Drosophila melanogaster: one gene and its partners. The protein of the gene in region 1 interacts with the protein of each later gene in a pairwise test. Each region holds a gene or a part of one and is shown in the gene's direction. Other genes may lie near its edges.

Region 1 (7,801 bases):
GATGCTTTGCCTTGGGTAATGCTGTTATGCCGTGCGGGCTGGACAAAATTCCAGCTGAGCTAGAAGGCCGGGCATAAGTTGTGTCATTGGGGTCAGCAGACACGATACTTTTATCCGGAAACTTTGAGACAACTATCCATTTCCATACGACATATTCCCAAAATATTGCTGACAAAGTAGCCAAAAGATAAGTGCTTGAAGTTATAAGCTTGAGGGGACTTTACACAATACCTGGTTATCGACAAAAATAACGACTACTTCAGATTTTGTAGTTCACTTATGCTAGCAATTTGGTAGTAACAAAGCAGGTACCGCGTTATCTGCTGTTTATTCAAATTAACAATTATTCAAATTTATTTTTAGAAATAATTTATAAATAGAAGATATCCTTCGCTATCAGATACCCATTACCCAGGTGGGGTGGGGGGGAGACATAATATTTTGAATAACGATTGAAAGGTATGTTTAATCCCACATAAAAACAAAATAAATTAAAACAATACATAACTTTTTGCTTTTTTAATGATACAATTATATTATCAAGACATTATGATGTTTCCTTGCGTTGCAAATATTCACGACATGTTCCACATGTTCTTCTGCGAGCTGCTATTACAAAATTACCCTTGGCAGAAAACTTTAAAAATTGCATGGTAGCGAGTGATAAATTATGCTGTCCCCATCACACTCTGCGTTATGTTTTATGCGGCCCCTAAAAAATGATGTATATGTGGATGATAAAAAGTAGATTGCAAAACATCAAGCGAAACACCTTTCGTCCAGAGTGCATCGCACTCGAATGTCAAAGCTAATAAGCAGCTTCAGTGGAAATATTTTTCCCGGGGGAAAACTCCGTCGCCGTCCTTTTTGCCTTTTTGCCGGCTGTTCTATTTCGTGGCAGATTTATGGGTAAGTATAAAGCAGAGGAGATGACGTTGAGGCTTGGCAGGTGTGAAAGTTTGGTGCCCACATGTGGGTGTAGCTCCCCGTTTTCGCCTTTTCAGTGTTGCAGGATTATTAAGACAACAAAAAGCTGCATACTTTGCGAGTGGCTCTAATTAATGAAAGACTTTGCCGTTACCCTTCTGCCACTGTCAATGCATAAAGAAATTTTGCTAATTAAAAATAATCGCAATAGCAGGGCTGCTCTGCAACTTTGTCTTTGCCTCAGTGGGCCAACCCCTTATGCTTCTCCTATTCTGCCCAGGGGAAAATTTCCGAACTGGTCGGCCATTTCTTGTGATTATTTTAACAACTTGGCCATGTTGCTGCACTCACTAAGGAACCTAAGAACCATTTGCACCATGGACACTTGGAAAAAATGTAGTAAATATTTTTAACCGAGCATTTTGTCTCCAGGGACTCTTTTTTACTCGTAGTCTATTAGTCTATTAAGTCAATTAAAGTTTAGTAATGTACTTTGTTAAGTCACCTTAGCTACCTACATACAAACATTTTATAAATTTCTATTCCTGCTTTGTTTCTCAGTTTCTCAGTTTTTCAGTTTGAGGTTTTTTTTTAATCCCGGAAGGATTACTTCGTATTTCCAATTTAAGTAGACAAACTTTTTTCTCTCTGCATAAGTCGTAGAAAATGCTCGCGGGCTGCAAGTAATTGTCTCTGGCTCGTTGCTTTGGATTTGGATGCGGATTTGGCGGCTTTGGCTGGCAACATCATTAAATGTGTACATAATGGAATTGCTGTGATTTGTTCCAAGCGGAAGATTTATTATCGCCCAGCCATTTTCCAGGCGAAAAAATCGGCATTATGTTCCGCATGCCTGGTGACAAAGTGCAGCCAGACGACGGCTTTCATTTTCTGTTTCTGCACAGCAATCGGGTCGTTTACATAAACACTTTGGAAATTTATTGCTCTTGGTTGGCGTGTGTGTCTGTCAATGGCAAAAGTTTGTGCATTTCATTTGTGCAAAATTTGCTTACAACTCAAATTGAATTAACCTGATGACTCAGTGGAATGTGGGGCGGTGTTCCAACGAATGTTTTCGACCCAATTCCAGCCGATTCCTTAGAACTCATAGCGGCGAAATCTTCGGCTTATAGAAATCCTCATCCGAAACGCCATTGTCGTATATAGTTGTCGTGACAGTTGAGCCATATGCCAACTCATTTGCATTGAAAGTTTTTCCCTCTCACAAGTTTTGCAGTGAAACATATGCTCGAAACCCTATTAGGTCTTCATCAAATTAAAATATGTCGTCCTCGAGGAGAATAATGCTCGGAGCCATGGCTGAAATTAATTGCCTGCAAAACTATACAGAAGTCATCCTGGGACTTCCTCCACTGGAGAAGAAGGTGCACAATTTCGCAGTCATCAAATAAATTAAAACTTGACCATGGACCCACTAACAATGAAGGAAGCAGCAAAGTCTCTAAAGTCTCAGTTGAGTTGCTCAAACATCTGTGCAAAAATGTGTGTGGGCTTGACAGAGATTATGTCTGGATTGCTGAATTTTGGGGACACTGGAGCGAGGGCTTGAAATGAAAATGAATTTGTGACAATATGAAATACTTGTGCATAAGTGAAATTGTTTCATTCTGCCGGGGCGAAGTCCGCCGGCAACCCAGTAAAATAATTGCCCAATAAACAAATGTTTTTGAAAATATGGTCCGAGTGCTCAGCAAACTTATTTCCGTAATGGACTCGGCATCAGGCCCAAAATCAATTTTCATGTCTGGTTCAATGTCATTTCGAAGTGGCGTACAATTACACCCGTAATCCCCTAGCATATGGCAGTAAATCTTGTTGTTTACACTCTCGTTGACCATCGACCATTGTCAATGTTTATTGTTTATTGTTTAACGCTTTTTCTGAATGACGTTTATATTTATATTTATATTAATATTATCAATGGCGGTGAACACATTCTATTAAATGAAATCCGCTATCTTTAAATGCAGTTTGTGGGAATTAGTAGCAGATTGTGTTAGTTTGTGTGCCCAGATTTGACCAACCACTCTGTTATTTGGCCATTTCCCCATTGGCAGATTGAGTTTGCATTTAATACCTTATACGTGATCCATCTGGTAATTAATGTCCCTCGTAGGCCGGTCGGTGAAATAAATTGGATTTGTTGTTAACATTTTAGTCACTGTTTTGTCATTACGCGCTGTGGGAAAGCTGCTGTCAATTTTGTGGCGACCAAAATGACGGTTGGCCAAAAGGCCAAGGGAAAACATCCACAAATTGATGAGATGAGCACTTTAAAGGGAAGTCGACCTGTCTCGGCATTAATAATCCCAGTGCGTGATCAAACTTCAGTCAGCCAATTGCTGGCTACTTATGCCCATAAATAGTTCATTGCATTTCCATTAGGCACTTTGCGGCAATCCGGACGACTGTTCGTTGACCTAATGCGAGCAATTCATTATCTGCAATTAGAGTTCAATTCACAGGCTCTGCCTGGCCAAAGTTCAAGGATCGGCTAGGCCGGCCTCTTGAGGCCATAACACATCATTAATGGTCTCTGCGGCCGGTTGCCAAAGAAAAGTGTAACAATAATGGGCTCGTTTGTTTTCATTGCACACGTGCCGGAGCCCCGACTTTGGTCAAATGTGCTCTTAATAGACCCAGCGTTTTGGGCCATGTTTTTGCTGTGCAAACATTGGCCAACTCTCCTGTCGGCGGCAGCTCCTATTCCCCCTTCAGTGGGCCACTCTTGTGGTCCGGCTGATGGCTCTGTTCCGTCAACTCGGGCGGTTCAAAAAATGAAATTAAATGCGCGAATGCATGTTTAATGGCGCGAAAATGTGTGGAATCTTTTTGAGAATAATTTTCGACCACACCTGGATAATGGGTGCAAATGTGGGTAGATTAGCAGTCGCACTACTCCTCATAGATTATTAGGAGGGACCATTATTAAGGGTACAAATAAGTCAATGAAAGTTCGAACAGGGCCCTGTTAGTTTTTCATTTTTTTAGGGACATCATAATTACAAAGGCTATCCAATCGCATTGAGAACTTTCGAGTTCGCAACTCTATTTCGGGCTCACTTGCAAAGTTTTTTTTACAATGGATATCCTTTAGCATAATTGCATGCATATTGCCTGCAATAATTGCATGTGATATTATTACAGAGATTCCTTTTTTGGTTTTTATTCCACGCCACTTTGAACCAGCCTGATTGTTGAATTAAAAAATTAATGAATGATTTTTGAAATGCCAATGTGAATGGCCGTGTAAATAAAATACAGCAGCCTGACCCCTTTCCATATATCGTCTGATGAATCCTCATGATGTTCTCGGCTGTTTCCATGTATATTTATAAACACCAGCGGCTTAAAACAATAATTCCCCAAGGACTCAGATGTTGTTGACGGTGACAACTATGTGGCGTATTTATTAAAGCGTTAATTGTCGAATCAAAGTAGTCACCGCATAAATAAGCCATTTAATATATCTCAAAAATCTCCAGTTTCCCAAGAGCAGTATCAAATTTTCAACATGTCCGCGACGAGCCTTGTAACCATTAAGTCGATCCCCTCAGCGGGAGATGTCCTGCGGGGTAAAAATGTACCAGTTCACCGCCTCAACGCGAAGTTTGTGGCCAAGGCCCAGGAGAAGGCTAAGAAAGTGGAGGAATTCCTGACTAGGACGAAGACCACTTCGTTGGTTTCCTTGTCAGGACTTGCTTCCCGATATGAGTTCCATCGTCTCCAGGAGCTCGACGAGTGGTATGAGCCAAGGATCAAGTTCCACGACGAGGCCGATGCCAGTTTGCATCCCAGCTACGATATAAAGCACTTTCAGTAGTCAGTTAAGAAAGAACTTGCTGAGTTACTTAGGTTTCCTGACACACCATTATTTCCAGCGATCTTAATTGCTATGTGCGGTATCTGGACTCCAAAGCGAAATATGATAGGCAGTTCCTTCACGAAATGGAGCACATTATTGCCAATCAACGCAATATCTGCGACCAGTTTTTCCTGAAGAAGTAAGCTAAAAGTTAGAAATGATAACATAAATTAACCGGGACTTTCGTGGCTTTTCTAGAATCCTGTGCTATAAAACAATGTGGCCCCCACTGCATACAAAGAGGGAACTGAATAACTTTGTCTCAAAATTCTTTCAACTGCCTCCTAAGGAAAAACGTCGCGTCGAGTATCTGTTGAAAACGGATTTAAGTCTGGGTTGCTAAAACTGATCCAATTGCAAAGTAAATGAGCCTTTTTATTCCACTTGGAAATGGTTTAATTAGCTCATTTAATTTTGCAATTATTCTCTGCAAAACTGATAAAATTACCTTATGGAAAATTGTACAGCCAATAAATTTAATTATGCAATTAAAGCCTTTTTTATAATTTCGCTGCAAAGTTAGTGAGCTAACAAATTGGATGGCTGGCGTAAGAACTGTAAGAAAATGTATTTTATGATTACTTGTTAAATTTTAATAGGATCTCGTTTACAAAAAGGTTAGTCAATCGGACAGCAACTAAATAGTTTTGAATAAAATCCGCATTTGTTTAATTATTCCACTAAATTACATTTAAACAAACTGCCGTTTGTGCATATTAAATATTTGAGCTGCGCTCATAAATAAATTCAAACAATGAATTATTATATTGTTAAACTGTGTAACTATGTGAGCAGATTCATGTTTAAAAGCAATGCAATTGTTTCGACCTCTTTTTACAAGTTACCGATAAGGGATAAATGTGTGCGTGTGTGATTGTATGCGTTTGTGATTGTGTGCGTTGACAGGAAGTGCGTCATTTGTCAAATGCTATTTTATGACCATTTTTTAGCCGTTCAGTCGAGTTTTGTTTGCACCGTGTATACACCTGAAAAAGAGCAAATTTACAAATGTTTACGCAGTGAACAATGACCAGAAACGCCATGTGAATTTGCTCTTTAATTCAGTTATGCCCTTGGCTGAGTTTCTTCTTTAAAATTAATCAAATAGAGTTTCGATTTATTGTTTGGTTTTCGCATAGGCCACAAAAAATAAACAACCATGAATAACTGGTCAGCCGAGGGTAATTTGCAAAGGTTTCACAATTTGAAATCGGAGCTGTGAATGCATTCAGGCCTGTCATTAAATCAAATATTTGTTTTCAATGTGACTTATCAATTTACAGGCATTAGACACAAGGATACAGGGATTTAATCATTTTGCAAGAATTTAGCTCAGGCTAAGCAAACTAGGAATATTTTCCGCTCCAATTCACGCATCACCCGATATTAAATTAAAAACTGAAGAACATCCTTGCGTCCTTTTCGGCGCCCCCAACACTTGGAAACTGTCATCCCATAGACGCTAATTCATGCTCGAGTGGGCTTTCAACCTCGATGGCCAACTTCAATTAATGCCAAAGTTCCAGCGATTTTAAAGTCGGTTCCGGGAAGAAAGCCCTCGCAAGGGCTAAGGGTAAAAAAAATCACTGTGAAGCTCTGGCATCCGCAGCTCACAGCTATAAATTATAATTTCCGCATGCTGAGCCGCCCCAGCCCCGTTTACGCCGCCATTCCATATACCCAATGGCCTGACCATCGTCCGGTCAGTCCTGGTTTTATGATGCTTATGGAAAAAATTCCTGCCACTGCATGGCTGCAAGGTGTGCGCCAATTTCCGGCACATGTGAGCGTGTCCGTATCCGTGTCCGTGTCTGCTCGCTCCCTCTCTTTTTGATACGTATAATTTTAAAAATGTTTGGCCGACACCCCTGTCCGTGCCCATACATACATATGTTGCCAGAATAGCCGGCAGAAAAAATTATAATTAATAGTGCTCGAAAAGAGTGTCGGAAAAAGACATAAAAGGGACAAACTTATGCATAACTTAAAGTCGCAGGCTGCCCACATCGTAAAGCAATGGATTTATATTACCCATACGCACTGTGTAACCAGTGGCTCAATGGGATTTGGACCACACACTCGGTTAAATGTAATGCTTACTGCTCCGACACAGCGGTGCGCTCAGTAGAGTTTTATTATTATTATCCGACCCAATATATATATATATGGATTATACATTTCACGTTAATACATATTTCGTATTTTGTCAAATCAATACAAGTAGATGAGTATTAAACGAAGGGGATTGTTTAATATTCATTGATTACTCCAAGAGAAATGCGTATTCCGTAAATCATACCAAATGGATAGCCATTTGTTTTTATTCATTGAACATGATCGACATTAAGCACGCCCAAAGGATAAGCATTAGCATATTTATCACGCATACGCACTGGGTAACCCTCGTTTGAGTAAACATTGAACTTAAACAAGGTGTAAATCGCGACTCCATCACCGCAACCTTTCAGACTTCGTGTCCCGCGTTTAGCTTTAACCTTTTGGCAATACCATCCGATTTTTACGCTGCGCAGCCAATTTCCCAGCGTTCACGTAGCGATCCTTCATTTCTGCCCCACTCCCTACGCACAAACCCACTTGCCGGGGTAATGAATGTTGTTTGTTTGTGCAACATATTTAACAACAAGTAGCAATGCTGAGCAATCATTGCTTGCCAACTCGTTTGTTTTCTTGACTGGGGTATTTGCACTGGCTGAAGCAGTTTGCTTTGGGGAAAGTATGATTAAGTTCTGCTGGGGACTTGAGTGTAAGTAATGTACATCTTGAATATTTGTTACGCACTTAAGTGCTTGGCTGGTGTTTTCTTATGTTTTGAAGGTTTGAATATTTGTATCATTATCATTAAAGTTACACATTTCAGTACAAGTTCACTCAGACGATTAATAACTTTCTACTTGCGCAGTGTTAAATAAATTTTTAATAACAATAAATATTTATATATTTCTTCATTTATGTTACTTCCGCTTGATT
Region 2 (8,004 bases), on another chromosome or scaffold:
CTTGCCGGGAAAGGTGCCCACATCCCTCACTTACAAGGCTAGCCAAGTTTTTAATGCCCCCTCCTTTTTTTTTTGCAGGGACAACGCACACACATGGGTGCCACGGGCGCCGGGGTTTACATCCTGCCCACGGAGCTGTCGCCCCTGCTGCGCTACGTGGTCAAACAGATCCAGCTGCTGTGCAAAAAGCCGCCGAAGGGATTTGAAAAGTATTTCGAAGCCGGCGGCAAGTCGTCTGGCCAACCGAAGGGATCCGTCGGCGATAAGAAGCCACCCGCGGGTTCCAGCAAATCCGCCTCGGAGAAGCCCAGCACATCGACACCCGCCTCAGTTAAACCCAGCAGATCCCAAACAGACGCGAAATCGGACTGGAACTTCGGCATGTTCAGCAACAGCTCGAGGGGGCCAGCAGGAAAAGGAGGCAACTCGCTGGGCGGACGACCTCTGGGCGAGAACGGTGGCGGCGGGGACAGGGAGCGGTGGATCCTTCTGGGTGCCATCGGAGCCGTCGTCCTGGTGGGTTCGTTCGCCTTCTTCGAGATGGGCTACAAGGAGATCTCGTGGAAGGAGTTCGTCAACAGGTGAGTTCTAGCATTGCGTGTTGCATAAGAGTTCGATCAAAACATGTGAAACTAGAAGCTGTGGAATATATACATAATTCCATGGATCTAGATCTTTCGCCTGTTGTGATACGACTGCAATTCTCACTATTATATTTATCTCTATTTCCCAAAAACAGCTACCTGTCGAAGGGCGTCGTGGAGAAGCTGGAGGTGGTTAACAAGAAGTGGGTGAGAGTGCGTCTGCAGCAGAACAGCAACAGCGGCAGCGGCGTCTTGTGGTTCAACATCGGCAGTGTCGATAGCTTCGAGCGAAACCTGGAGGCAGCCCAGACGGAGCAGGGAACGGAATCCATCAACTTTGTGCCCGTAATCTACCGCAACGAGGTGGAGGCCGCCAGTCTGACGGGTCTGCTGCCCACGTTGCTCATCATAGGCTTTCTGGTCTATATGATGCGGAAGTCGGCCGATATGATGGGTGGAGGCCGTGGGCGCAAGGGTGGTGGTCTTTTTGGTGGCGTCATGCAGTCCACCGCAAAGCTAACCAATCCCAATGAGATTGGTGTGGGTTTCAAGTAAGTTGGCGAGACTTCACAGTACATACCTAATACCTTTTATATTCTTTACAGGGATGTTGCCGGTTGCGAGGAGGCCAAAATCGAAATCATGGAGTTCGTTAACTTCCTGAAGAACCCGCAGCAGTATATTGATTTAGGCGCCAAGATACCGAAGGGTGCCATGCTAACTGGCCCACCCGGAACGGGTAAAACGCTACTGGCCAAGGCTACCGCCGGCGAGGCGAATGTACCGTTTATTACCGTGTCGGGATCCGAGTTCCTCGAGATGTTTGTGGGCGTGGGACCTTCTCGTGTCCGCGACATGTTCGCCATGGCCCGAAAGCATGCTCCCTGCATCCTCTTCATCGACGAAATCGATGCTGTGGGTCGCAAACGTGGTGGCAAGACCTTCGGTGGCCACTCGGAGCAAGAGAATACCCTTAACCAGCTTCTGGTGGAAATGGATGGCTTCAATACCACTACGAATGTGGTCGTACTGGCCGCCACTAATCGTGTTGATATTCTGGACAAGGCTCTCATGCGACCAGGTCGTTTCGATCGACAGATTTATGTACCAGCACCTGATATTAAGGGCAGGGCGAGCATCTTTAAGGTGCATCTGGGTAACCTGAAAACGTCGCTGGACAAGAACGAGCTGAGCAGAAAAATGGCTGCACTGACACCAGGCTTCACAGGCGCTGACATCGCGAATGTTTGCAACGAAGCTGCTTTGATTGCCGCCCGCGACTCCAAGGATTCGATCGTACTCAAGCACTTCGAGCAGGCCATTGAGCGTGTTATCGCTGGCATGGAGAAGAAGACCAATGTTCTGGCGCCGGAGGAAAAGCGAACGGTGGCACACCACGAGGCTGGCCATGCGGTGGCCGGTTGGTTCCTGGAGCACGCAGATCCCCTGCTGAAGGTCTCGATTATACCACGCGGCAAGGGTCTGGGCTACGCCCAGTATCTGCCCAAGGATCACTACTTGCTGTCCAAGGAGCAGTTGTTCGATCGCATGTGCATGACGCTCGGCGGACGTGTGGCCGAAGAGCTGTTCTTTAATCGCATTACCACTGGTGCTCAGGATGATCTAAAGAAGATCACCGATATTGCCTACTCCCAGGTGGTGCGTTTCGGCATGAACGAGAAGGTCGGGCAGGTCAGCTTCGATGTGGGCCAGGCCGGTGATCCCGTTTTCAGCAAACCATACTCGGAGGACACAGCGCAGCTGATCGACAACGAGGTGAGGTCGATTATCAAATGTGCCCACGAGGCCACCACTAGTCTGCTGACCAAGCACAAGGAGAATGTTCAAAAAGTGGCGGAAAGACTGCTCCAAAACGAAGTGCTCAGCCGTGATGATATGATTGAGCTGCTGGGCCCACGACCCTTCAAAGAGAAGTCAACCTACGAGGAGTTCGTCGAGGGTACCGGCTCCTTCGAGGAGGACACCACTCTGCCCGAAGGCCTCAAGAGCTGGAACAAGGAAAAGGAACGAACGGAGCCTCTGGACGCTGGCAGCACGCCATCATCGCCGCCCACCAAGCCCGTAACTGCCCAGAGCAGTTAGGCAACGATCTTCGCTCATGTGGATGGGGAGTTTTGGTGTGGTAGTTCGAGGGTGCCGACATCTGTTTGTTTTTGTTGTAATCCCTAAACGCGGACCGGAGAAAACCCCGACATGTGGCAGATCGAGAAGGCAGGGCTCAAGGAGTTCCTAGACCTTCTGGAGTTACAGTTCTCCACGACGCGTTCATTATTGTTTTTGCATAATTTTAAGATACCCACATGGATAACTTGTTCCCGTGTTGAGCAATTAAGTGCTAGCCTGTACTAAATTCCCCGTATGCGTAGTTTCAAAATGGCAATAAAGAATGGAAATGACCTGTCAGTGTGGAAAAGCGAAATTAAACGATGTTATCAAGGCGAAAAATAATCGAATCAGTGTTGTTACTGCCTTACGGTTTAAACCCGTTTTCGAAAACAGCAAAAGTTGCAAAATACATACAATGTATTGCTTCATTATGTATATTTCATACAATAAAATGTTATGATAACATTGGAATGCAAAATTTGTTCTTAACTTTGGGATAGCCAGCTTTATTCTTAAGTTGACTGATAGTGCCAGGTTAAAATTTTTTTCAGTGTGAGCTTTTAAAGCTGCACGCGGTTTAAGAGAGTGCCGCTCTCTTCGGTAAGCTTTCTCCGCAAACTTTCGCCGGCTACTCTTCCTCGCTGCGGCTTATCACTTATCAGCTGTGATGCTGAAGTACATGCGCCATGTGCAGCCGGTAAATAGTGCAACTGCCGCAGTCGGCGCCTCTGCCGGTGCAAAGCTCCGTAGGGGCAGCACCAGCGGCAACAACAACAGCAGCAACAGCAGCGAAGGCAGAGAGTGCAGCAGTGCAGTCGACGTCGCTGCCGCCGGTCGTTTTGGGGCCGTCAGTTGGGTTTTGGGGTCTCGCCGCTCAGTGTCGTCTTGTTGGTTGTCGCGTTCGTGTGCGCGCACTGAGAAAAGCGGAACGCCAGCGTTGCACTAACCGTTGCAGTTTCTATATTACTCTCGAGTCGCCCGATTTCAGAGCTGTTCGTACCGCTCGTGGGAGTGCGTGCGTTTTAACCAAAACAACTACCAAATCGCGTACAAGATACCAAACCAATATAACCGAGAGGCCCGAAAGGAAAACCCCTGCTGTGGAGGGCATTTTGCATTTTGTTTACCTCGATGGCTGTGTGGAGTGCAATTTGACGATTATATAATATAAAATACAAAATACAAAAAATAGGGAAAACGAGTAACAGTGCGCGGCATTCGATTTTAATTGCAATCAACTACAATAACCGCTGAAGTAGAGGAGTTAAAGCGCAAACCTCTCCCTCGCACCCCCGCCCTCCCTCTCACTCACACTCACTAACACATTGCGTTTGTGTTGATCTTTCCTGCAAAATGGCTGCCGGCCGGCAAAATAACGGCAACATCCATACTTGATCGATAGAAAGAGAGCGGCAGAGAATCCCTAGCGATTTCATGTTTGATTTATTGGATTTTATTTTTCCTGAGACTTTCCTTTAGGCTTCTTGTTTGATTTCTTAGAAAATTAAAATTATGTATTTATGACAAATGGTGACCATTAGGATGAACAGAACAAGGAGGAGAATTTAATGCTAATGTTTATTTATTTTGTCAAGAAAATTATATTTAAATTTGTTTTGCCATTTGCATTTATTCTGCTTTAAGATAGGAAGCAAAATATCTCTTATCAATTAGTGTAAAATCAATCAACAAACACGTGTATTACATAAAATTTAAATTTGATTAATATTTTCGTTCCTTTTATTAGAGATCTTCGTTGTGATCACTTTTATAAAATGGCTGACATCGGTAACGGTAACTTCGATTACTGATCAATCGAGCGCCCCCTGTCGGCGATTCTCTTAGCTCTGTTTTAGTTTATCGTTTATTTTGTTTTATTTTGTGCTGCCAATTGTCGCAATTGCAATTGTCGGGTCACGTGTTTGTTGCTGCCGCCAGTTAACTTCTGCTCTCGTTGTAACGGTGCATGTTCCCTGTGCGGGTGTGTGTGTGCTGATGTACGATTGTGTGTGTGCGTGTCTGTTCGTGAAAGCTTGCATGCTGCGCGTTATTATATTGTTGCTGGCGTTGTTGTAATTTTTGTTGAGGGAGTCACTGCATGCAATGTTCTTCTTGCCCTTTCGCACCTCCCTATCTATCTATCTCTGTCTTTTTCTATTATTTGTTGTTGCTTTTACTGCTGTTGTGGGTGTGGGAAAAATCAAGGCGCGTATTAAGCACAGAAAATGCAAAAAAGAACACACACAAAATATAGGAAAGCGAATAATTTCGGAGAGAAAGCAACGGAAAATAATTGCTTTAACAAGCAAAAGTTCAAAGCTATAAAATTTGGATGCCAGCATTTTTGAATTTCCGAAAAATTGTTCGGGAAACCAAGGTGTTTCTGGCGTAAAAAAAAGTGTCACTTAAAACCTTTTTAATGTTAAAAATCGTTCAGATTATTTAACAACGATGGGAATTTATGAAATTAGTAGAGAGCTTTTTACTAAATATTTGGAATTTTATAATTATTACACAAGCTCACAATAAGTAAACACGTATACTTATAATTTTTGAAAAACATTTGGATCTTTAACCTTTTATATTTAGTTTTCTTAATTTTTTATGAGACGCCTATTCTAAGAAAATTAATTTGATGGCTCATGCCATATGTGTAAAGTGAGTCAAATTTATTTCAAACAAAGATCTTTTACAGTCTTAGTACCGCATCCCAATTGTCACTCAGCCGTTACTTAACCGCCCCCCTTTTCCCACCCGTTCCTCACCTGGCTTTTCCACGGTTTTCCTCCCTCTCTCTCTCTATCGCTCCCACATCGGTTGCACTTTTTTGCATTTTACGATTGTTCGTTGCGAATCATTGCATTTTAGGGGGTGGGTGGGGGTGGTGCAGCAGCTGCGGATGGGTGGGAAAGCGAGGAGTGGCGAGGGGGAGCGAGTGAAGGGGAAAATTGCATTTTCAAAAGTTTCCCTGGGCAAAGTTTAAAATTGCAATTTAATTAATTTTCACCAAACACAACGAAACAGATCTTTTGCAGTAATATGTTGCCTTCAAATCAATTGGGAAACCAACAACCAAAGTTAACGCAACGTTTCTAAAACTTAAAGTCTAAACAACAAACGAAATAATAGTTACGAAATACACAATAATATTTAAACCAAACCAAAAGTGGCCTGCAAAACGAAGCAACCAAAACAACCAAAACAACCAAGAAATGTGATTCAATGTGTGCAATGTAACCAAATTATAATTAACAAGCTAAATAAAACGATAACTAGAGCAGGAGAAAAGCCGTGGAAAATCAGCGGGAAAGCCAACCAAAGCCAGGCCAAATGGAAAACAAGGAATCCGGCAGCCAATCGAACAGCCAACTAGCAGCCATCGTGGCCAATGATTAAGGGAACACTCTGTTAGCCAACTCGTAGTAGCAGCATCCCCCGTCCACACATAACACCCAGTAACACAGCCACTCAGCCGCACAGAACCACTCGACCTCCCCTCGCATCTCGATGCTCGCACAGAAGGCGTTGGAGCAACAATTATAGAATAGACAGCCAGACGACCACATCAGCTCAGCTCAGCCCCAACTGCAAACTCCAATCACCAGCTCCAGCTCCAACTCAATCTCAATCCCGAGCCAAAACCCCCAACATGGACATCAAGATTGAGCAGCAGCAGCAGCAACAGCAAGTGGAGCTGGGACCCTGTTCCCCCTCGGAGGTGCCCAATGATCCCGGGTAAGTGTGCTGCTCTTATATGTACATGTATACCCTAGCGAAAGGGTATCTCAGAAAGTAGAGAATATATTTTAATCAACTTGAGAAGAAAAAGATTTACTTCGATTTATTTATATTACTTTCGCTCTACAAGCACTAAAAATCACCATCCTTAAAAGGATGTGCGAAATTTATATTTCAGTTCTGTAAATCATAATTAAAATATATTTTCCTAAGACCCTAACTTAGATTTTTCGAGAAAAGGGCATTCAAACTTCGCATTGTCGAGTTGGACGAGAACTTTTTTATTTAGTTTGAGGTCATGGACGTGGCATTAATTGTTTAAGTTTTAAGTTTGTCATTATTGAAGCGCAGGGCGCCGGAAGCGAATGGAGCGTGTCCTGGGGAGCGGTGTCAAGGCAGTTATAGTTGTTGACAGAAAGTTTTCTATGTCAACTGGGTCCGGAACTGGCCGAAAGCGGCCAGAAATGGACGATGGCCCAGCTGGGGATCCAAGTCTGCGAAACTAATTAGAAAACAATTTGCCAAGGACATCAAAATTCAATTAAAGCCATTCGGCTTAGTGCTTTAGTGCAATGCAGTTGCTGCCCTCGACTCGCTTTCATCCTTCCGGCAACAGTTTATTATCAGTCCGATTCCCCAGCTTCCAGCTTCCCAGCCCCTCATTCAAAATTTATACTTGTGCCAAAATGGGTTAAGTTGTGATTGCGGTGTCATATGCAGTAGATTAATTGCGAGCTGCATTGCTGATAATTTGCATCGGTTTGCAGTAGTCTCCTTGGTGGTCGGGGGTGCAGTTTGGCTGTCAGAAAGTCGGACTAGCAAATGGATGATCCGGTAATTGGCAGCCAAGTGAACTGATTGAAGGTAGTGGTGGAGCGGACTTTTGACGCAGCCCATAAAGTGAACAATTTACTGAATAGGGAGCTCTCGTCGTTTTGTTCGAATTCGCATAGAATGTAATATTTTCAGTTGAATGGAAATCCAAAAAAAGATGTATGATGATTAGAAATTCACAAAAAGGTGAACTATTTCACAGAAAACTTTATTTTCAAATTGAATCTGGCAATTGGCTCCTATTCAATGAAAATTGATACTCTAAATTAAGTAATAATTTATCAGTCAGCCACTTAAGTTCAGCATGCAATATAAATCAAATTCATTTTCACAAAAATTAGTTTAATTCATTAAAATGAGAATAAGAAGCAAATAATTATAATATCAGTTGGCAATTTATTTTAAATTTTTTTATGGTGAATGGCAATTTTGTTGTGGCTTGAAGTTCAAATGATGAAAATTTCAACTATATTTCTAAAACTAGAATAGATAGATAGATGAAATTTTCCTGCTTCATGAACTTTAAAAAATTTTGGCTATTTAGGTAAGTTTTATGAGAAGCGCCGAGGAGGGCTCCACAACTGCTCTATGCCAATTCGAGCCATATAAGCCCTTTGTCATTGCAGTGGCCCAGGGAAAAAAGCCAGCACAAAATTGGAAAATCGCTGCGAATCTAGAAAAAAAAACCCATAGGTACAGCCATATGGCCCGGACAGCCGTC
Region 3 (8,004 bases), on another chromosome or scaffold:
TATATATTTCCTCCATTCAGGTTCTTGTTAGAGAGTTTCCTACTCCCCCCCTGCTGTTATTCAACTTGCAATTTAAGCAATTTTAAGCAGCTTACAGCTTGAGCGCATTAGAACAATTAGCGCAGTCGATGCCACAGATATCGATGCCATGGAACAAAAAAAAAAAAAATTAAGCAGCATCCAATGCCAATAGAAATGATAGGTAGTCCTTGAAATGGAACTCAAAAGTATGGCAAGCTTAAATAGTTCAGAATCCGAGCTATAGCTTGTAATCAGCCAACCAAATGTATGCAAATTAAATTCCAAAAATTCCAGCGAAACTTTTTTGTCATTGGAAAAGTAGACTGCTTCATTGAAAATGTATTTTCCAGCAGGCGGAGTGGATTTTCGTTGCCTACCTTTAGGGCGACGCCTAGTAACGAAATGCGGGAAAATGCGATTATTAAGTGGGTGTGGAAACCGGAGTGGCATTTATTAATTTAAACACTTTGTTGTTACCCAGGAAGTTGTTGAATTTTAAACATTGGTATCGCATAATTTTCTTGTCATTTGTTTTGATTGGCCCATATTAAGTAGCTCCATTTTGTGTCATTGCTTGGCTGGCTAATTCAATCAATTAACTTTAGAGCGAAAAGTCCAGAAAATACAAGAAAATTCCCTCCTTACACACTATCGATTTTGCAATTTCAGAGAATCAAAACTGCACCCCACACATATGCGTACCGCATACACGTGGCATATTTCGCCTGTAATCAGAGACGCCACGGGGTTCCCACATTCATTTTTTGGCGCTTCGAAGGTGGAAGCCATAAAACCTTTACGGCATATGCCTAGATTTGCAAATTAAGGTGGGTTGGTCGACGAATCCCGACTGCCTGGCTGCCTGGCTGCCAAGCTGCCCGACTCGTGTGCACTCCAATTTCCTTTGAATGGGTGAGCAGCAACTCGAACGCTTTCCGCCTCCGATTTCAGCAACAATTTCTTTTGGTGTGATATTGGGTTAAGCAGCCTTAAAGAGGTTAAGGAAATCGTTTGAGGAACGACGGATCTGTTGGTGTTTTGGTTTCGGGTTTTCCTGGCTAATGGCCGGGAAAGTTGATGAATTCGCCGGGGCAACCTTGGGCGGCACTTAATGAAAGTGAAAGAAAGCCACCGTTTTCACTGGATTAACGTTTCTGTGAAATTAAGATTTACGGGAATTCAGCCAGGAAACTTGCGCATACCTTAAATCAAACTCGGTGTTAATTGCAAAAAGTCGCAAGAAATATTATTCCCCATTTGCGTTGCATGTTTTGAGCTAAATATATTCTCAAAAGCTCCTGTATAAAATTCAATGAATGAGGTAATTTACAAAAAAATAGAACGGCAAAAAAATATGAAATACAGTTGGATGAGAAAACCTAGTTAAATAAGATTTACCAACCATAAACTTTTACCGCAAACGGGAAAAGTGTTCAAGGTGAAGTCCGTAAATTTTGCCGGCAAACTTTAAAGCGATTCTGGAGCACTTTCGATGCGGCATGCATACGTCCAATAAACATCACCTGGCACTCCTTTAGACGGGCCCATAAAACGGCCAGAACTACCACACTAAATGATTTAAAACGAGCCACGGACTGCCGAGAACTGCTCTGCTCTCTCGGCCTGATTGAAATGAATTGGTGGAAAACCCTTAAACCGAATGAATTATGCAGAGGCCTGGCGTGGGGCTTAATAAACCAAACTTAACGAAAACTGTTTAAAATGCGAGCCGGCCATCTCGAATATTTCCAGCTCGGTGCAATAAATCTGGGGCCACAAACTGCACTCGATTGCCCTGCCACATGCAACGTTCCCGCTTTTCTCAGCCAAAACGTGTGCGCAATTTTCGCAATTTTCTAATAGCCGTTAAAGCTGTCGGTGGGAAGGGATCCATTCCTCGTTCTCCACCAGTAACATTAACAAAAACAAAAATAAAAAGGAAAACAGCAGCTTTTCACGTCCGATGATGCCCAGTTGCATGACTTCTTGTTTTTTGCTCGAACGGAAGTCCTTTCGACGCCATTTTGCGGTCGGCTATTGCAATTGAGTGCAGCCCCGACTTCATCAGCTTCCAGTTCCGTTCTCCTCAGCCCCAGGGATCCGGATCCCTCGAGGAGCTCAAGGATACGTGCCCGGGCACTCTGGCACGCACTTTAAGTTTCATTAAACAAAACCATCGCGCCTAGGCCTTCGAAGATTGCCTATAAATTCATGGAAGTCAGTGAAATGGAAAGCAAAATCTATGGCGGACGCAATTTGGTACAGTGTGCTGTCGGAAAACAAGATCGATACTAAAATTCCAAATGCTGATACAAATAAGAGTAACTAGAATAATGAATTTTTTTGTTACATTAAAAATGTTTTTTTTTCTTGTTCGTTAACTTTTAAGTCATCTTTCGAAGCTTCACTGTATTTCTCGCCGTTTTCCGACGCTGCTGACACAGCAGTGGAAATCCGTTTGCATTTCAGTGAGTCCAGGCTGTCGGGTGGGATTCCTATTGCCAGACCCACATTCCTTGGACGACCATTAAATCTGCAACAATTTACTTGTGATTGACATGTTTATAAGGGTCGTAACCCACAGAACCCCTTCCCTAGACCATTTTTCCAGGGAGTGACCCTTTTCTGGTGGAGATGTTTGTTTTTGTCCCCTTTCATAAACGAGTGAAGCCTAAAACGGTTCTGGACTGCTCCTTTTTTTCATTTATCACGCAAAGAGAAATAAATCTTTGATATTTGTGCTGTCAAGGAAGCATACTAAATATCCTTCTGCACTTTCCAGTACTTTTCCTTGGCGAGGCGGAAGATATTGAAGTGGACAACAATTCGTGGCATTGTCTGAAAACTCTCAGCACACACAATTAAAAGTTCCCACGTCAAGGGATACATGAATAAAACAACAAAACGAGTGCGTGAGGAAGAAAACATAACTGAATCGAACGGATAATACCCTAAAAAACAGAGACAGATATTAGTGAATTAATTAGGAATAAAAATCACAACTTATCAACTTTAGAACTCGTATTTGAATAAACTTTCCAAATGAACATCCATTTAATTGAATTCCCACATATAAAACTCTCTTGCCAAGTTCATCATACCCATAAAAGTAGAAAAGAAGTGGAAGCAATGAAAATAAAAAAAAGTGTTCCACAGAATCTTCGATATCTCCATTGGCGGACAAAACGCGTGTTTTGTTTTAATTTTGCACTTGGAAGAAGAAAAGAAATCCCAACCGGTTTTCAAAGGCGCCCCCCTAAAAAGGGCAAAACGTGCGGGTAATCATCAGCCAGCGCAGTAAAAAATGAAAATACGAAATACTACATACAGTTCACGATCAATTGAAATGCAACAAAAAACAGCTGACATGCAAGCAACTGCAACTCGAACGCACTTCGAGCCGCAACTCGAACCGAAAAACCAGGTTGGCACCGATCGTGGCTAAGATCGAAACAAAGTTTGGAAACTTTCAGTTGAGCGCGAGAATTCCACGCGGGCGGACGGGGCGGATGAACGATATCGGTGTCTTGTCGGTTTTATTCTGGTGTCGAAAAGAGCGATAAGAACTGAATTCGTTTCGAAATACTGAGAAGTAAGACACCAAAACGATAAGGAGTCGCCGCTCTGCATGTTAAAACCAAGTCGAGTTACTTCACATGGAACAACACGCAAAATGAACTAAAAACTCATTTCGAAACAGCTGAACACATTTGTCAGCTGGTTAAACAAATTTTGTGTGGAGAAATGCTAATGAGTTCCGTTGCTGTTGCCGCTGAACTTTTCAATTAATTTAACAGCCCATCGTCGTTGGCATAGATCTTATCGCCATATCATAAAACAAAAAAATAAAAGCCCAGCCGAGGAAAACAAAACCCAAAAAAGGTTCTCAAGAAAGTTTAACGAAATTGAAAGAAAACAACACAGCAGCTCAAACGGTTTTTGTTGCTGCCATCTATTTTGGAAGCGATTTTTTCTTTTTTTAGGCCGAAAGGTGCGCCCGATTCCAAAGATTCGAGGCATTACGAGCCCCGCGGGGTTCTCAATTTTCAGCTACCCTTTTCGTGAGTTTTTCGCTGAGCTCAGTGGGATATAAAAATATAGACATAACTCTGCTCATATTTGCAAGTATTTTTCGTACTGACATTTGAAACCAGAAATATGTATGCCCCATCCCAGAGTTGCTGCTGCAAGGTTGTTTTTTTTTTACCTGTCCTCTGCCATTAATTGAAATCCAATGCGGAAGGGGCGTAGTAAAGTGCATTGAGAAGGGGTTTTTGGAAGGGGGCCAACCGACCGCTAGGCTATGACAATTATTACAGCTTCCCAAAAGCGGCCAAAGAAACAGGTTGCTCTCGCTCCTGCCATCAAAAACTCGCAGTAAAGCCAAGTAGTGCAAATTGGTTAGCATAGAACATAGAACATAAAACATAAAAAAGGGGAAAGGAAGTTGGGCCTGCAGTACCGGGTTTTAAATACACTTTATAAGGCAGAAAATCAAAAATATACCATAATTTAAATAAGTGCCTGCTGCAAATGTCACTTTCTATAATAGCAAAGCTGGTCTTATATAACTAATCTAATCTATAATTTCTATCAAAACATATATATATCAAGACAAGAGTTAAGCAGATCTCCGAATACTCTTTGGTAGAGTAAAGAAAAAGCGGAGCAAGATGGGGCTGACTGAGAGACAGGAAAAGAGGCATCGACCACTTACGCATAACTGTAAGATAGACTGGCAGCAAACAGGATTTCTGGCACGTACTTCTGGCTCACAAGTGAAAGAATTACTTGGCTCTTTTCCTCCTCTATGTAGCATATATTGTACATACCATATAGCGTTTGGGTCTGCCGCGCCCCTTATCAACCGACAAATTAAGTTCAAACTGCTGCTGCTGGCCGGCATGGAAAAGAGCTAAAACTCCAATTTGTGTCAAAATACTCATGCGCAAAAATGGAATTTTTCCATTAGGCCAGAGAGACCCAAACTGAAAAAGCCAACAAAAAACTCCTAAACTAACATGAAAACAGTGAAAATCATGTGGAGAGACTAGCTAGGCACTGAGAGAAATTGAGTAGATCGTAAAAGTATTTTACAATAATGCCATTCGTAGTTAAATGAAGTAAGCGCTGGTTGCTTCGTTTAAATGGCCTGCAGCTATTTAAGCCAAACTATCGTTTTAAGGGTATGAGCATTTTCCTCAGTGTACCAGACTAAAGTAAAGTAAAGGCAACCAAAGTTTCAGGCTGCAACTTGTCAAACGTGTTCCCCAACAAAGTCTCGCGGCATTTGGAAATGTGCAGCATTGTGCAGCGGCAAGAAAAACAGCAGCAGCAGCCACAGAAACGAAAACAACTCGCATAACTGTGACTTGTATTAATTTTCAAGCTTTTCCAAACAGCCAACTGCAAACAAAAAGAAAATCCTAATACCGCGTTGTCTCAGCAGCAAAATGTTCGCGGCGACAAGAGGCTCAATTAGCATTTAGAAAAGCCGCATCGTCATCGCGATCCCATCATTAAACTCCCTATAGATGGAGGAGGACGTGCTGAACGCCCTGCAGACGCGGAGTGCCTACTTATCCGGCGGATTCGATCGCCAGAAGCGCATCGTCTTCGTTGTCAACGCATTCAACGATCTGCAGCTGTGGAATCGCCGCTATCTGCAGGTGACTCTGGACTATCTGAAGCGGTCTCTCAGGTGAGAATCGGGAATTAAGTGGTATTAGGCATTTGCCATTAGGCACAGAAACTTTAGAAACCGGCAGTGGAAATGCCGACGATTCATTAGCATATGGCCGAAATATGCAAATAGCCCGCAGATGATGAAGGTTCATTTTTTGTCGTCTTTAATGCATTACTTTTCATTAGACACGGCTCTCTGGGAGGGGTCTTAAAACGGGTCTCGAAAAGCGGAAAACACCTAACAAAATCTGGTTATTTATATGCTAAGTGTCAGATATTTAAAGCCAACTAAATAATTTAAAGTTTCTGAAGTCAGATGATTTGTCTTGAATGGAAAACATTGTTAATATCCACTTACATATATTACTTCAGAGTAACTTGATACAAAGTTCGGTCAGTTTAAGCACACTTTCATTTTATAAACACACTTTACAAGCAACATATGTAAAAATAGTAGTAGCAATAAATGTACCCTCTTAAAAACCTTAAGATAATTTATGAAAATTATATACCGTTCGTAACCTATTTAAACAACTACCTATGGGCTTTACGCCCTTCTTTTGTTATTTCCCATTTAAGTTTGTTTATTTATTGGCACAACAAGCAAATTGTTTAAGTTTACGAGGTAGGCATCAAACAATCTTTTAAATACAGGGAAGAAGCCACATGAATTATGGATATATTGATTGTGATCAATCAACTGGCAGTTCCCCTGAAAAAAGAGTGTCTGATTAAAGCCAAATCCTAACTGGCAAGCTAATGAAGCGCTTAAAGACGCTTTCCTCCAGTCCCAAACCGATTAACCAACTTGACATTAATCTCTTTCAGCGCTTCGGTGTTGCAGAATGGCGTGAGTGTGGTGGTCAATGCCCAGGAGAGCAGTTCGCGGATATCACGGCAGCAGGTGCGACAGATTTACGCCCTCTTCGGGGGCGACATCAATGTGGATCTGTATCTAGTCAGGGCGGAGGGCTTCTGGGAGAAGCATGTGGAGCCGTGCACCAAGTCCCAGGTCAAGGGAGAGGTAAGCTAATAGCTTAGGTTGGACACAACTCAAGAAGTGAATTAAAGATTTAAATAGCTTCCCATTAAATCGATTTAGTTCCTAATAAAATATATCATAACCATAAACTGCAACATAGTAATTAGAATTTCCACATTGAACTCATTAATTTCTCACTGTGCTCTCTTAATAGCCCCTGGTGCTGTCGAAGGCGAGGCTGTTCAAGTTCATAGAGCCGCAGAACCTGCCCGAGGAACTGGGCGGCACCTTGCAGTTCAACTACGATCTGTGGCTGCAGCAGCGCAAGGTAAGTGCCCCAATTTCTGTACCGTTCGAACGGCACATAATGGCTATATTTACGCAGTCCATCGACGAGTTCACCAAGTCGCATGTGCAGACTTTGGCTTCGATGGAGAAACTGTTGGCTCTTCTGCGGGAGCACAAGTCTCTGCGGCCGGCGGAAGCGGATGTGGAGCTGAAGAAGTGCGCCCAGATGCATGCCGGTGTGCAAAACGACATAGAGACCGCCATCGACTTGGGTGAGTCGAGTTCGTTGCTTGAGTCTTTTGTTTTTTTTGGTCTGTTCGCTAGTCGTTTTTTGTTTGCCCCGCGAGCAATTAACATAATTCGGTTTGCCCTCGAAGCAAACGAGTTAAGTGAGACAGACAGAGACGGAAAGAAAGACACACAACATGTGACAAGTAAATCATTGAATTTTGTGTGTGTTTTCAATTAGAAATGCGCCACGTTTGGCAAACTCGTTTTTCGCGCCGTTTGTTGTCGATTTTTATTGTGGGTTGATTTTAACGGCACTGAATAACATTGAGCTTGGATACTGAGGCCTACAGAAGGTCTTTTAGGTAGAAATGCGTCTTTTGATAAGATAATTTTAAAATCTACAGTTCCATACGATGTTGAATAGACTTGGCTATGATTTGACAATTGAGAATTGTTTGTGAAATTAGAAAGATTGATTGATTGGAAATGGCAGACATCCCGAATATTATCAAAATTTTCGTAAGACTTTAACAATCATGACTTCATGAATTCCACATATTAATTCAGAATTTATGAAAGCCACAGCTAAGAATCAAATACTTTTCTGGCTTCATTAAGTTATTTTCGAGAATCATTTGCGGTTGGGGATCATTGTGCCCTGAGCAAACCGTGTTTCACAGTGTTCACACTTCAATTTTTGAACAACGACTTCAAATTCGGAAGAGTTCTGGTTTGAGTGCGTGGGTTTGGCAAAACGACAACCAAAGCAACAGCAACAATCGTGACCTTTCACTTAC

What was found.
Region 2: the proteins of CG11286 (region 1) and Rbp6 interact in a two-hybrid assay, tested with the Drosophila melanogaster proteins (one large-scale study listed by BioGRID).
Region 3: the proteins of CG11286 (region 1) and CG15822 interact in a two-hybrid assay, tested with the Drosophila melanogaster proteins (one large-scale study listed by BioGRID).

Annotation. Positions count from the first base shown.
Region 1 is NT_033777.3:7,768,362-7,776,162, reverse strand, and holds CG11286 (uncharacterized protein), read left to right. Parts: upstream 1-4,406; 5' UTR 4,407-4,462; coding exon 4,463-4,770; coding exon of another isoform or gene 4,771-4,771; exon of another isoform or gene 4,772-4,829; coding exon 4,830-4,952; intron 4,953-5,011; coding exon 5,012-5,156; 3' UTR 5,157-5,303; downstream 5,304-7,801.
Region 2 is NT_037436.4:17,233,794-17,241,797, reverse strand, and holds the start of Rbp6 (RNA-binding protein 6), read left to right. Parts: upstream 1-3,585; 5' UTR 3,586-3,966; intron 3,967-5,735; 5' UTR 5,736-6,360; coding exon 6,361-6,446; intron 6,447-8,004. Other genes in the region: Afg3l2 (AFG3 like matrix AAA peptidase subunit 2), read left to right, coding at 1-13, 79-581, 740-1,135, 1,190-2,687. UniProt on the Drosophila melanogaster protein: RNA binding protein that regulates the expression of target mRNAs at the translation level. May play a role in the proliferation and maintenance of stem cells in the central nervous system.
Region 3 is NT_037436.4:2,159,349-2,167,352, reverse strand, and holds the start of CG15822 (uncharacterized protein), read left to right. Parts: upstream 1-3,489; 5' UTR 3,490-3,613; exon of another isoform or gene 3,614-3,662; intron 3,663-5,423; 5' UTR 5,424-5,555; coding exon 5,556-5,722; intron 5,723-6,534; coding exon 6,535-6,730; intron 6,731-6,902; coding exon 6,903-7,016; intron 7,017-7,073; coding exon 7,074-7,248; intron 7,249-8,004.